Linked DNA regions of Caenorhabditis elegans. The protein of the gene in region 1 interacts with the protein of each later gene in a pairwise test. Each region holds a gene or a part of one and is shown on either strand. Other genes may lie near its edges.

Region 1 (3,760 bases):
GCAACAGTTCCAATGATAATAAGCGCATCGTTGACCACAATCATCACATACCACAAATTCAGAAAATCGAGTTGATCGGTAACGGTGATCTTATTTTTGAGTACATTCTCAAAATAGTCGCTTGTTTTGATTTGAAGTAGATGGGCTTTGATGAGGGCTCGGCAGCAGAGAATCAGTGATAGAATGCAAAGAATGAGAACGAAAATATCGGTTCCGCCGATTAAAAGTGTGTCAAATGACCATCCAACACCTGAAACTTGACCTAACTCGAGATTGATTGAATTTTTATATTTTGATATTTTAATATTACAAAATTCATTTTTATTTAAACACAGAAGTACACCTAGAAGTTAAATATTTCAAGTTAATTGGGAAATTTTTGAATACCTAAAATCTAAATGTTACTCTCAAGAAGAACTTTTTTAGGCAAATAAAGTTATGTAGATTTTAACACGAAGTTTCAGAAAGACTTTTATAAAAGATTTGAAGTTATATTTAATAGCATCCCATTTGATGATTCTTCACCATTAATTATTGGAATTCTATGTTAATTGGGTAATTTTCGATTACATAATCTATAATTTTTACTAGCTTTACTTTGAAAATTTGAAAAAAGTGAAGTGTTCACCTTTGATGATCCTTCCATTACAAACATTCACATAAGAAACCACAGTTGATAGAGTGACATGAACCTGTCCTGTATGCCTTGAATTATCAAATTTGATAGAAACTGATATCTTATAGCATTCTGGTTTCTGATCTCCGGCTGTTGGTGAATAATGAATTGTTCGTAGTCGAAATTTGAATTGGACCGTCGATATCTTGAGCGCGTCTTCTGGGAGAAATGTGATTCCACGAGTGGCGAGAATATCTCGAACAGCATCATCGGATTGTCCGATTTGGAAGACTTCCGTTTCTGTTAGATTCAGACGTTTCGTGTCTAGAAATAAACTATTTTTATTTCATAATAGTATGTTTATATACCTTTCACTTCACGAATGTCGAAATTATAAGTGTTATTGTTCACTGTTACGTTGGAAATTCGATCGATAAGAACTTCAATAGGTGGAATAGATTCAAAACTAATTTGAGCGCCAAGATTTCCAGATGGATGACTTACAACGTCATAGGAAAATGAAGCAAATGAATCATTGCGAATTGAATAATACTGAAACAATATTGATCATTTTACAAGATAGTTCTCCAAAGCGACTTACAGAATTAATCAAAAAGCTCAAATGCTCGGATAATCCTTGATCATCATAAACCGAATATCTTCCTTCAGCTGGTGGATATTGTAATGCATCTCTGTCGTCATTCCATTCTTTTAAAAATCGATGTCTCATAACTGTTGTGGTGTCTTCGAGAAAATCAACATGAGACATGCGCATTTCCGCGAATAAAATTAATTGCATGGTAACGAAAACTATTTTGAGCACTTGTAGAACCAACTTATAGGGCAGTTGATGTCTGACTTTCCATTTCTCCATTGGATTCATAAAAAAGAATTGGAGATGACGGCGAAGACGTTCGCCGGTTTCTCTTTCGTGGTGCGGAAGATCTTCCATTATTTCTTGAAAATTTATTGTTGGCCTTCGAGAAGCATTTGAAGAAGCATTCGAAGCATTATCGTTGAAGTCTGAACGATCAGTTGTGCTCCGGCGAGACATCTGAAATCATGAAATATTAAATAACGTTGTATTAATGAAAAATTGATTTCGATGCGAGTGGCGGTTAATATAAGCGTACAAAATATGAATTCTAATTTTTAAAAAATATATATTTTTATGATTAACATGCTATTTATAAAAAACAAAAACAAATAATTGTTTGAACAATTAAAAAATAATTTTCCGAGACCAACGCCCGCGTAAATCCTACTAGTGAGGTACACCGCGCGGTGTCTTTGCGTACCATGCACAATATCTGACGCCGGTCAATCTTATGGTATTTATTTTCTCTTTAAAAAACGAAGAACTAAAAAGAAATACTCACCTAAAGTCCAAAATTATCAGAAATTATCGTTATCAGTCAATCAAAAATTGGTTAAGACCATGCAAACATGCAATTTTGCAGTTTTCAACCCTTAAAACAATACATTTATTATCTCACCGATTCGAGGGGAATTTGCTCTAACCGCATCGATCTCGAAGCTTGGCTTCTGAATATTCTACTCATCTTTCAAGAAAGCTTAGAGGTGTTATTTAGAGCCGATGTAAATGGCGAACATGGGATAGATAAAAGAGCATTTGAGAGAGAGAAGCGCAGGGAAGCTAGAGACACGTCAATTTGTTTTTTTCTGTGTTGGGTTTTTTTTTCCTTCCGTAGATAAATAGCGGTTGGAATCTATACAAAATTGAGCATGACTTTTGAAAGGTGCACACAAAGAAAATAAAAAGCGTAGTACTTTCAGTAAAGAGAAATTGGAAAATTTTTTGAGGGCACATGTACATAGTATTTTGCAATGACGTTAATATGGATAAACTCGGAGAGAATTATAAATTCAGAAATTTGCATAGAATGACGCACATTTTAAAAGTGAAATTGCAGGTTATAAAGTTGTAGTTAAAAAAGTTTGAGTTATTACCCAGTTGCGAAAGATTTCAATTTATTACAAAAATTTCGGGCTGGTTCACAGCGCGAACATTTTCAAATCGTAGCCGCCGCAAAAAAGGTATGCACCTTTAACAACCACAGTAAACCATTGAAATTTTTCTTTGAATTTTTAGTCATATTCATATTCTGTCGTATAATTTTATCTGTTTCTTTTTAGATACAAATAGTGAGAAAAGGAAGAGCACAACTAACAAACGGGCAATGGATTACTGTCGTTTTTTGAAGGCGCAGTGAGACAGTAGGTACCGTTTTTGAAAGTTTACAGAAGGCAACGTTTGACAACTACTTCAATTTTTGTTCTTTTTTTTTGGTCGTACCCCAAATATCGAAAAAAGTCTCTGCAATTTTTAAATTTCCTGTGATTTCAATAAAATATTAAATTCTGAATTTCTATTTATTGAACTTCGATATCAAAATTCCTCTTGCCACACACAAATTTTTAAAATCTAATACGTTTCCATGTCTGCAACTATCGAAAACACCTCCACAATATTCAGTTCATCATCATTTTTTGTTTGGTTGACTGGCTTCCGATCGCTCTTTTCCTTTTTTGTTCTTTTCCCACGCCTTCTTTTTCTTCATCTCTGGCGTACTCTCTCGATGTCAAATTTTTGTTAAAGTGAAAGTTTTTGGCAACTATAGTTTTTACAACATATTCATTCATTTGTAGTTTTGATATTTTTTTATTTATTTTTGTTTCTAATAAATTTTTCATCCGTGAAAAAACTCGGTTAATCGAAACATTTCTTGAAAATTCAGAAAAATGGAATTCATGAAACTCGCAATCGAAGAAGCCAAGAAAGGAATGGAGAAGGGAGACGGTGGACCATTTGGAGCTGTAATTGTCAAGGATGGGAAGGTAATCGGTAGTGGGCATAACATGGTTTTAGTCACCAAGGATCCAACAGCACACGCCGAAGTTACAGCCATCAGAAATACTTGTAAGAATGTCGGTAAGTATTCCTTTCGTTTTTAACTTTAGTAAAGGAAACAAAATTAGTTTCTTGAATCCAAAATTTCGAAAATAATTTATAATTTTTTACAATTGTTTTTTATTTAGTAAATTCCTTACAAGATATCACTGTTTGGACATCACTTACTGCTTTGATCTTCAGTGTTTGGTTTTTGACTTTTTTGATTGCCT
Region 2 (3,196 bases), on another chromosome or scaffold:
TTTTGAATATTTTGATTCCTTTACTTGTAAGTCTAAACTAAATATTGTAATCGTTGATTTTCTTCAATTCCAGCTCGGTTCTATCGGAGTGATTTTAAACTTAATTTTAATTGTAAAATTCATGAAAATAAAGAAGAGCGCGGTTACAAATTTTACAAAACTATGTCTCTGCAAAGCAATTTCCAATTTTGTTATGAGCGCATCGTTTCCATTTTGGATTGTTCCTTTTTCAATGCTGGAATTTAAAATCCAAAACATTCCGAGAACATTGAATGTGATTGTTTCTGAATTTGTTGGTATATTTACTTATTATTTTGGGCCTTTTATTTTAATATGTATGTCTATAAATCGATTCATTGCTATTTACTTTCCATTTTCAACAATTTCCAAAAAACCATTTTTCACAAACTTTGGTATTTTTATTTCAATTTTGCTTGCAAGTTCGCCAGTGTTTGTACCCAAAATATGTATGTTTCACTAGTGTTTCAAACCAAAATAGAAATTTATTTCAGTCAGTTGCTATATAATTTATGATCCAGAGACTACTATTTTTTCATCGGAAAACTACGATCGGTGCGGGGAAGCTATGAATCAATTTTTCGTGATATCAATAGTAACATTGGCGTTAATATCTAATCTGATCAACTTGGTTATTTTTGCCAAACTCATGAAAGATAAGGTGAGCAGTTTTGTGATGATGTAAGGCAGTTTTAATTTAAAAAAAAACTATTAAATGAAGTACCATATTTTCAAGATGAGTGGAGTCAGTGAAGCTCAAAAAAGCAAGCGACGGAAAAAGTGGCAAACGATGTACATTCAAAGTGTCATTCAAGATTTTTTGCAAGCAGTAGATATTATAAATTTATATTACACATCTGGGCTTTTCGATGATCCTCTTTGGGTTTTTGTGTTTACTTCTGTTTCTTTTTCGTCTGTATATATGCTCGACGGAGCAACAATGGTGTATTTCCATTCAAACTTTAAACTTGTGTGCTCTTGTAAAATCGCAAGCACGAAAAACGTTGTGATGGTATCTGGAAAGGAGAGCTCAGCTTTTAAGCTTGCTACTAATTCAAAGATTTAGTCTTTTTGTTGATTCTTAATTATTAACCGATTCAATAATAGTATTATCCCTAAAATAATTTTAAAATGTTTTTCAAATTTTCATTTATACTTTCAAAACAATTTTTCTGGAAACAAATAAATAAGAAAAAATTTGCAGCAAGCTATAAGATTTTTAATTAATTTGTCTGCGAAATATTTCACATAGAACAACACGCTCCGCGTTCTAAAATCTACAGGAATGAATTTATCGAAATTAAGACTTTTTTGTCAGAATGTGCATCAAAGTTACATTAGCATGTCTGGAAAATTATACAAATTACACAGTTGTCTAGAATTATTCAACAACAAAAAAAGGAATTTTTATCAAAATTATCTCAAGCACAATGCTCCTCTCCATCAAAAATCCACAACAAATTTAGAATTGTACCCAACCCTATATACATTTGCAATAGGTCTACTACAATTTATTAATTCAAAGAAGCTGGTTTGTGAATTTACATTTTTTGTTCTTTGGGAAATTAAAAAAAGGGATTCACATGACATTCTTCAGGATGTTACGGTTTCAAGTGACTGTAATTTACAGTACGTATTCGTACGAATAAAATATACATTAGTTTCTGAAAACATTGAAAAATGGTTAAAGTTTAATTTAAAAAATGAGAAATAATTATTGGATTTCGTGAACCAAAGAAATTATCCATGCGGGTATTGAAGTTAGCGTCAATGATCAAACGTACCTATTGAAATTTTGATGATATCATGTTTATGAAATCTTTTAAAAACTGACTCATAAATATTTAAACTATGACCAAAGTAACATGTGATCCGATGTTTGTTGCTTCTTTCTTCCACCCTCACACAGTTCTCACTTTTTTGACATTTCTTGGGTATGCTCGCCACTGTCTTCAATGTTTACTCGCGAACTTTATTTATATTATTTCTATTTACCAGTGGCACAATGACGAAAGTATAAAAAGATCAGACAAAAGCTCATTTTTCATCGACCATCACACTAAAAATGACATTGATTTCTCTGACACTACTTGTCGCGTTTCTCGTTTTCGCTCAACTTTCCGATGCTGTCTTAAATGTTGTTGGAAGTACTCAGACTATTACTGTAACTGGAAGATTAGTGTGTCAAGGACAACCAGCTAGAAATGTTCTTGTGAAGATGTATGAGGATGGAACCAGTAAGTTATTTTTTCCTGAATTTTAAAAGTAAACAAAATTAAAATTTACAGTATGGGATTCTAAATTGGATTCAACAAAATCAGCAAATGACGGAACCTTTCGAGTTGCTGGAACCTACACAAAAATCTTTACATTGGACCCCAAAGTAAACATCTACCATCAGTGCAATTACAACGGACTTTGCTCCAAAAAATTGACTATTAATATTCCTGACTACGCAGTTGCCAGTGGTTCCGGATCTTCTACAAATTATGATATTGGAACATTGAATTTGGCAAATCAATTCAGTGGAGAAACTACTGATTGTATTCATTAAATGTAATTACTCAAAGTTGTATTTTTACTCTGATTCTGAACGATCTCAATAAACGCTTACGTTCAAATGTTTTCCACTAAAATATCCCAAATACGTTTTTATCTTGAGGCCTCTTGAAAAATTCTCAAATTTTTAACTGGTGGTTTGAAATTTCGAAAAGTTTTTCAAATTTTGGCATATCTTTCATCATTTATTTTGATTTTTTTTTTAATTATCAGGGTACAAATTAAATTTGAAGGTGCTGACGAAACGACTGAAAAACCACAATATTCAATGAAAAAAAGACGTAAATTTTGTACAAATTACTCACTTTCAATTATATACCTGATTCAAGGATTGGCAAAACTTAGGAATTAGGCAAGACTTTGGTAAAGGCTGCGCAGTTTTCAATTTCGGACCAACATTTGGCGAGAGTTGAGCAAAATTTGGTTCGCTCAAATTTTGCCATTTTCTGATCCAAGTTTTTTTTGGAAGCTTGCTCAATATGCTGAGCCAAGCTTTTTCTACGAAACTATTCAAAATTATCAATTTTCAGTATAAGTTCCAAAATCCCGTAACAACTCAAGTGAGCATTGTAGTCTACATGATTTTCATGTGTACTTGTAAACACAAATCACAGACAGT
Region 3 (3,760 bases), on another chromosome or scaffold:
GCCGGACCACAAGGACCACCAGGAGCCCCAGGACAGCCAGGACACGATGGACAACCAGGAGCCCCAGGACCAAAGGGACCAAATGGAAACCCAGGAGCCCCAGGAGCCGACGGAAACCCAGGAGCCCCAGGACAAGCTGGAACTTCCGGAGGTGCCGGAGAGAAGGGAATCTGTCCAAAGTACTGCGCCATCGACGGAGGAGTCTTCTTCGAGGACGGAACTCGCCGTTAAATTTTATGAGAAATTCAACAATAAAATATTCTCTATTCATCAATTTAATGTGTTTTTTTGTTCAACTTCAGAGAAAATAACTAATTCAGAACAAGAAAATTTCGTCACTAGTAATTACGCAGCAAGAATAACGATTCCATAGATACACAATTATTCTGTACAAAATATTTATTAGTTTTAGTATAAAGAAACAATATTCTTAAAAATGCTCCTAGTTCGAAATTTGGAATGGTTTATCGAATTATTACAATGACCTGAAAAGCCTAGAATTTATGCTATCAGTAATGCTGATTTTTCAGAAGAACTGATGAGCTTAATAGACACAAATGCCTTTTGAAAATAGAAAGAGAACTGTGTTTCATGGGTTACCAAACTTAGTAAATTTTCTTCTCGATGCTGTTTGATCTATCTTGACCCAAAAACTTTAGTAAGACAGAAATTATTTTAACAAAAATATCAGTTGTGTGCTTTGCTTTTTTACATCGTGCTCTCATGTACTGACAGACAATGAGACGTGTTCTTATAACGTTTTGTTCACAGTTTTCAATGCTTACTTTAACTTTTCTGAATACACACCGCACAGAAAACTAATGATTTAAAATGGCCTACATGAAGAGTTCCAAAACAGAAAATAAAAATTGAAAAGTCATGTTTTTTCATGCCAAAATAGTCATTTGGTTATTTTTACCATCGATTTCTTTTTTGTAATTAATATCCGTATTTAATGTCACTAATATTTCACCGAGCTCTCCCATTATTTGGCCCATACACTATGTCAATGGTCACCGCGAAAGTGAAATGCGCCACCGCAAACGAATGTGCGTCAGCAGAAAATCAATAACGCGGGTGCCGTGTTGGTCGACGTGTCTCTCGAAAGGAACTAATTCGAACCAGTTTTTTGTAGAATTTCGTGTTAAAACTTCATTTTTGATTCTTCAGGAATTAAATTGCACGTAGATTTGTAACTGTTTTAAGTCGTTTCATATATTCTTCCTTATGTTTCAAATTTAGTTATATAACCTATATTTAAATTGCTGTATTAATTCACAGTGCTAGCCAAAGAAGCAACCTTTTTTGGTTTTTGATATTGTTGAGAATGATTAAAATGAATTCCGAAACTATTTCCGAAACTAATTCAGAAGCTAATTCAGAAGCAAATTATTTTTACTTTTGTATACTTGTTCAAATAAGTTAATTATATTCACTAGTACCAAAAAAAGCGGAATTTCTAGAGTATATTATTATTATAGTTAAAAAATGAAACAGTAAATGAAAATTATTTTACTTCAGCAACCTTTAAATACAAAAATAAATATTTTGTTAGTTATACTTCTGATAACTAGGTTACGAGTTATACTTTTGAATAATTTGCAACATTATCAAAAAACTGAAAGTGAATATATTTTTGGCATGCTCCTTATACCTAATCAGTTTATTAACTTTAAAAAACGATTTTTCATCCATTATAAGACTTCTCAAGTAGTGTCGGAAGATTAAAAAATTTTAGAAAAAAAAGGATGTGTTCGGAAAACTTTTTGAAAAAAAAACGTGAGACGCATATTATTGCGTGAGATTAAAATGTGAGCTTTCCACGTGGGTTCAGCGCCTCTCCGTTACGTGGAACGGGGTTTCTCTGTTTCTCTCTCCAATCTCTCGCAGAAAATTTATTCTGGATTTACAAATTATTTAAAAAGTTTTTGAATAATTTTACGTCATCCCTTTTTTTAAACTATAATTTTCAAATTTCTTTTCTTCTCATTGTTTCTTCACGTCCTTGAAGTATACTGTCACTTTTTAAATACGTTAAATACAAATATAATACTTTTCAGAAATGGAGGACAAAACCTCCAAAGAAAAAGAAAAATCGGCCGACAAACGGATCGATGAACGGGTTCATCAACAACTGGTGTATAAGGATAACCGAATTATAGATTTAAATAATGTGATATTGGATAAAGAAAGGCAAATTTTGGACTTACAGGTGAGAATTATTCTGTTTCTGTGGTTTCATATTGGAGTTGTATTTAGGAAAGAGTTCGTGAGCACAATGAAGTTGCTTCAGTCAAAAATCAAGCAATGAGAATTGTTCAACAAAAATTTGAAGAAATGAATAGAGACAAGAAGGATATGTCGACAGAAACTGAGCCTTCTTTGATGGCTCATTCCTCAGTACCATTATCAAATTCAAAGAGTGAACGGAGAGCAAGAAGTTCATCTCCAGGTCATGTCATTGCACAGAGAAGTGAGTAAAGTTTTTTGGTTAAAAAAAAATGAAGTTGTCATGCACCATTTCTGAATATATATGACGTTCAGTTTTATTTTTAGAATTTTTTTATTATTCCCAAACAGGAAAATTGCTGATCTTAGACGTGTTAGGACAACTGTAACCTACAGTAATCTAAAGGTAGCTTGCCCAAGTAATTTGTATGCTCCTCTTTTTCTTGAAAATAAGCTCGAAAATTGAGCACACGGCTAGAAATTGAAAATTGTGACGATATAAAACTTTTTTTTAAAGTTTAACGGAATTGAATTGATCTATTTTTCAGAAACGATGGTCTCAAGTTCATCGGGAACCTTCTCTCCTCCACCATTGGATCCTCCATTTGATCCATCTAGCAAACTGAGCGCTCTTCCAGATATTGACGGAATCCATAGGAAACATCAAAGAAAACGTGTAACTTTTGATTTAAATCCAAATGGTTCTTCAATTGGAACATCAACATCTTCCAATTTTCCATCTACATCTGTTTCCCGCTATCCCACCATTTCAATGTCTTCTTCAACTTCAGACGCTCTCGAGTCTGCTTTAACAGAAGCTTCATCTGAAAATGCTTTACTCCGTCAGCAAGTTATCGAACTAAACTCATCTGTTGAAAAAATGAAAGCAGACTATGAATCTGAAATTCTCAAATACACAAAAGAGGCAAAAACTGCTGGACTCAAGGCAAAGGTTGCGGCGACTGCAAGAATCAAGGAGTTGGAAACTACACTTGAAGATATCAATGGAAAATATGAAGATGAGGTAAGTGAAATAGATGAATATATCATTTTGTATAGAAACGTTTCCAATTTTCAGAGGGATCGTCTTCAAGAAGAAGTTGACACTCTCCGATCTTCTCGAAATTGGGAAATAGAACAAAATGCTCTTCTTCGTGATCAAGTTGCTCATTTGAAAGAAAAAGTTCACAAGTTGACAACAGAGTTAGATGCTAGTGAAGTAGCCAAACGATCCTTGAGCTCAGAAGTTGACGAATCTAAAAAGCTGATGGAATTGATGGTTGAAGATCTCCTTCAAGCTGAATCCGCTATCAACTACAATCAATGTCAGAAAAAAGCTATTTTTGAGGACATTGACCGATTGAAGGATGCCATTCAAGCACAGGATAGATTTATTGAAGTTCTTGAAGCTGATATTGTCATCTATGAGCAACATATTGGACTTTTGAGAGAGAATTTGGGTGCTTCACAGGTAAGATTTTTATTTCCTGTTGAAGCTCATTTTTTCCATAAGAAAATCTTTAACATCTCG

What was found.
Region 2: the proteins of cup-5 (region 1) and ttr-21 interact in a two-hybrid assay, tested with the Caenorhabditis elegans proteins (one large-scale study listed by BioGRID).
Region 3: the proteins of cup-5 (region 1) and T28C6.7 interact in a two-hybrid assay, tested with the Caenorhabditis elegans proteins (one large-scale study listed by BioGRID).

What each region holds. Positions count from the first base shown.
Region 1 is NC_003281.10:7,582,599-7,586,358, reverse strand, and holds the start of cup-5 (Polycystin cation channel PKD1/PKD2 domain-containing protein), read right to left. Parts: upstream 1,677-3,760; 5' UTR 1,671-1,676; coding exon 1,218-1,670; intron 1,169-1,217; coding exon 985-1,168; intron 941-984; coding exon 629-940; intron 263-628; coding exon 1-262. Other genes in the region: gda-2 (CMP/dCMP-type deaminase domain-containing protein), read left to right, coding at 3,380-3,569.
Region 2 is NC_003283.11:13,853,274-13,856,469, reverse strand, and holds ttr-21 (Transthyretin-like family protein), read left to right. Parts: upstream 1-2,064; 5' UTR 2,065-2,083; coding exon 2,084-2,255; intron 2,256-2,306; coding exon 2,307-2,572; 3' UTR 2,573-2,636; downstream 2,637-3,196. Other genes in the region: srx-134 (G-protein coupled receptors family 1 profile domain-containing protein), read left to right, coding at 1-26, 74-467, 513-679, 755-1,084.
Region 3 is NC_003282.8:8,825,742-8,829,501, forward strand, and holds the start of T28C6.7 (Kinesin motor domain-containing protein), read left to right. Parts: upstream 1-2,062; coding exon 2,063-2,212; intron 2,213-2,259; coding exon 2,260-2,473; intron 2,474-2,777; coding exon 2,778-3,253; intron 3,254-3,307; coding exon 3,308-3,700; intron 3,701-3,760. Other genes in the region: col-3 (Nematode cuticle collagen N-terminal domain-containing protein), read left to right, coding at 1-231.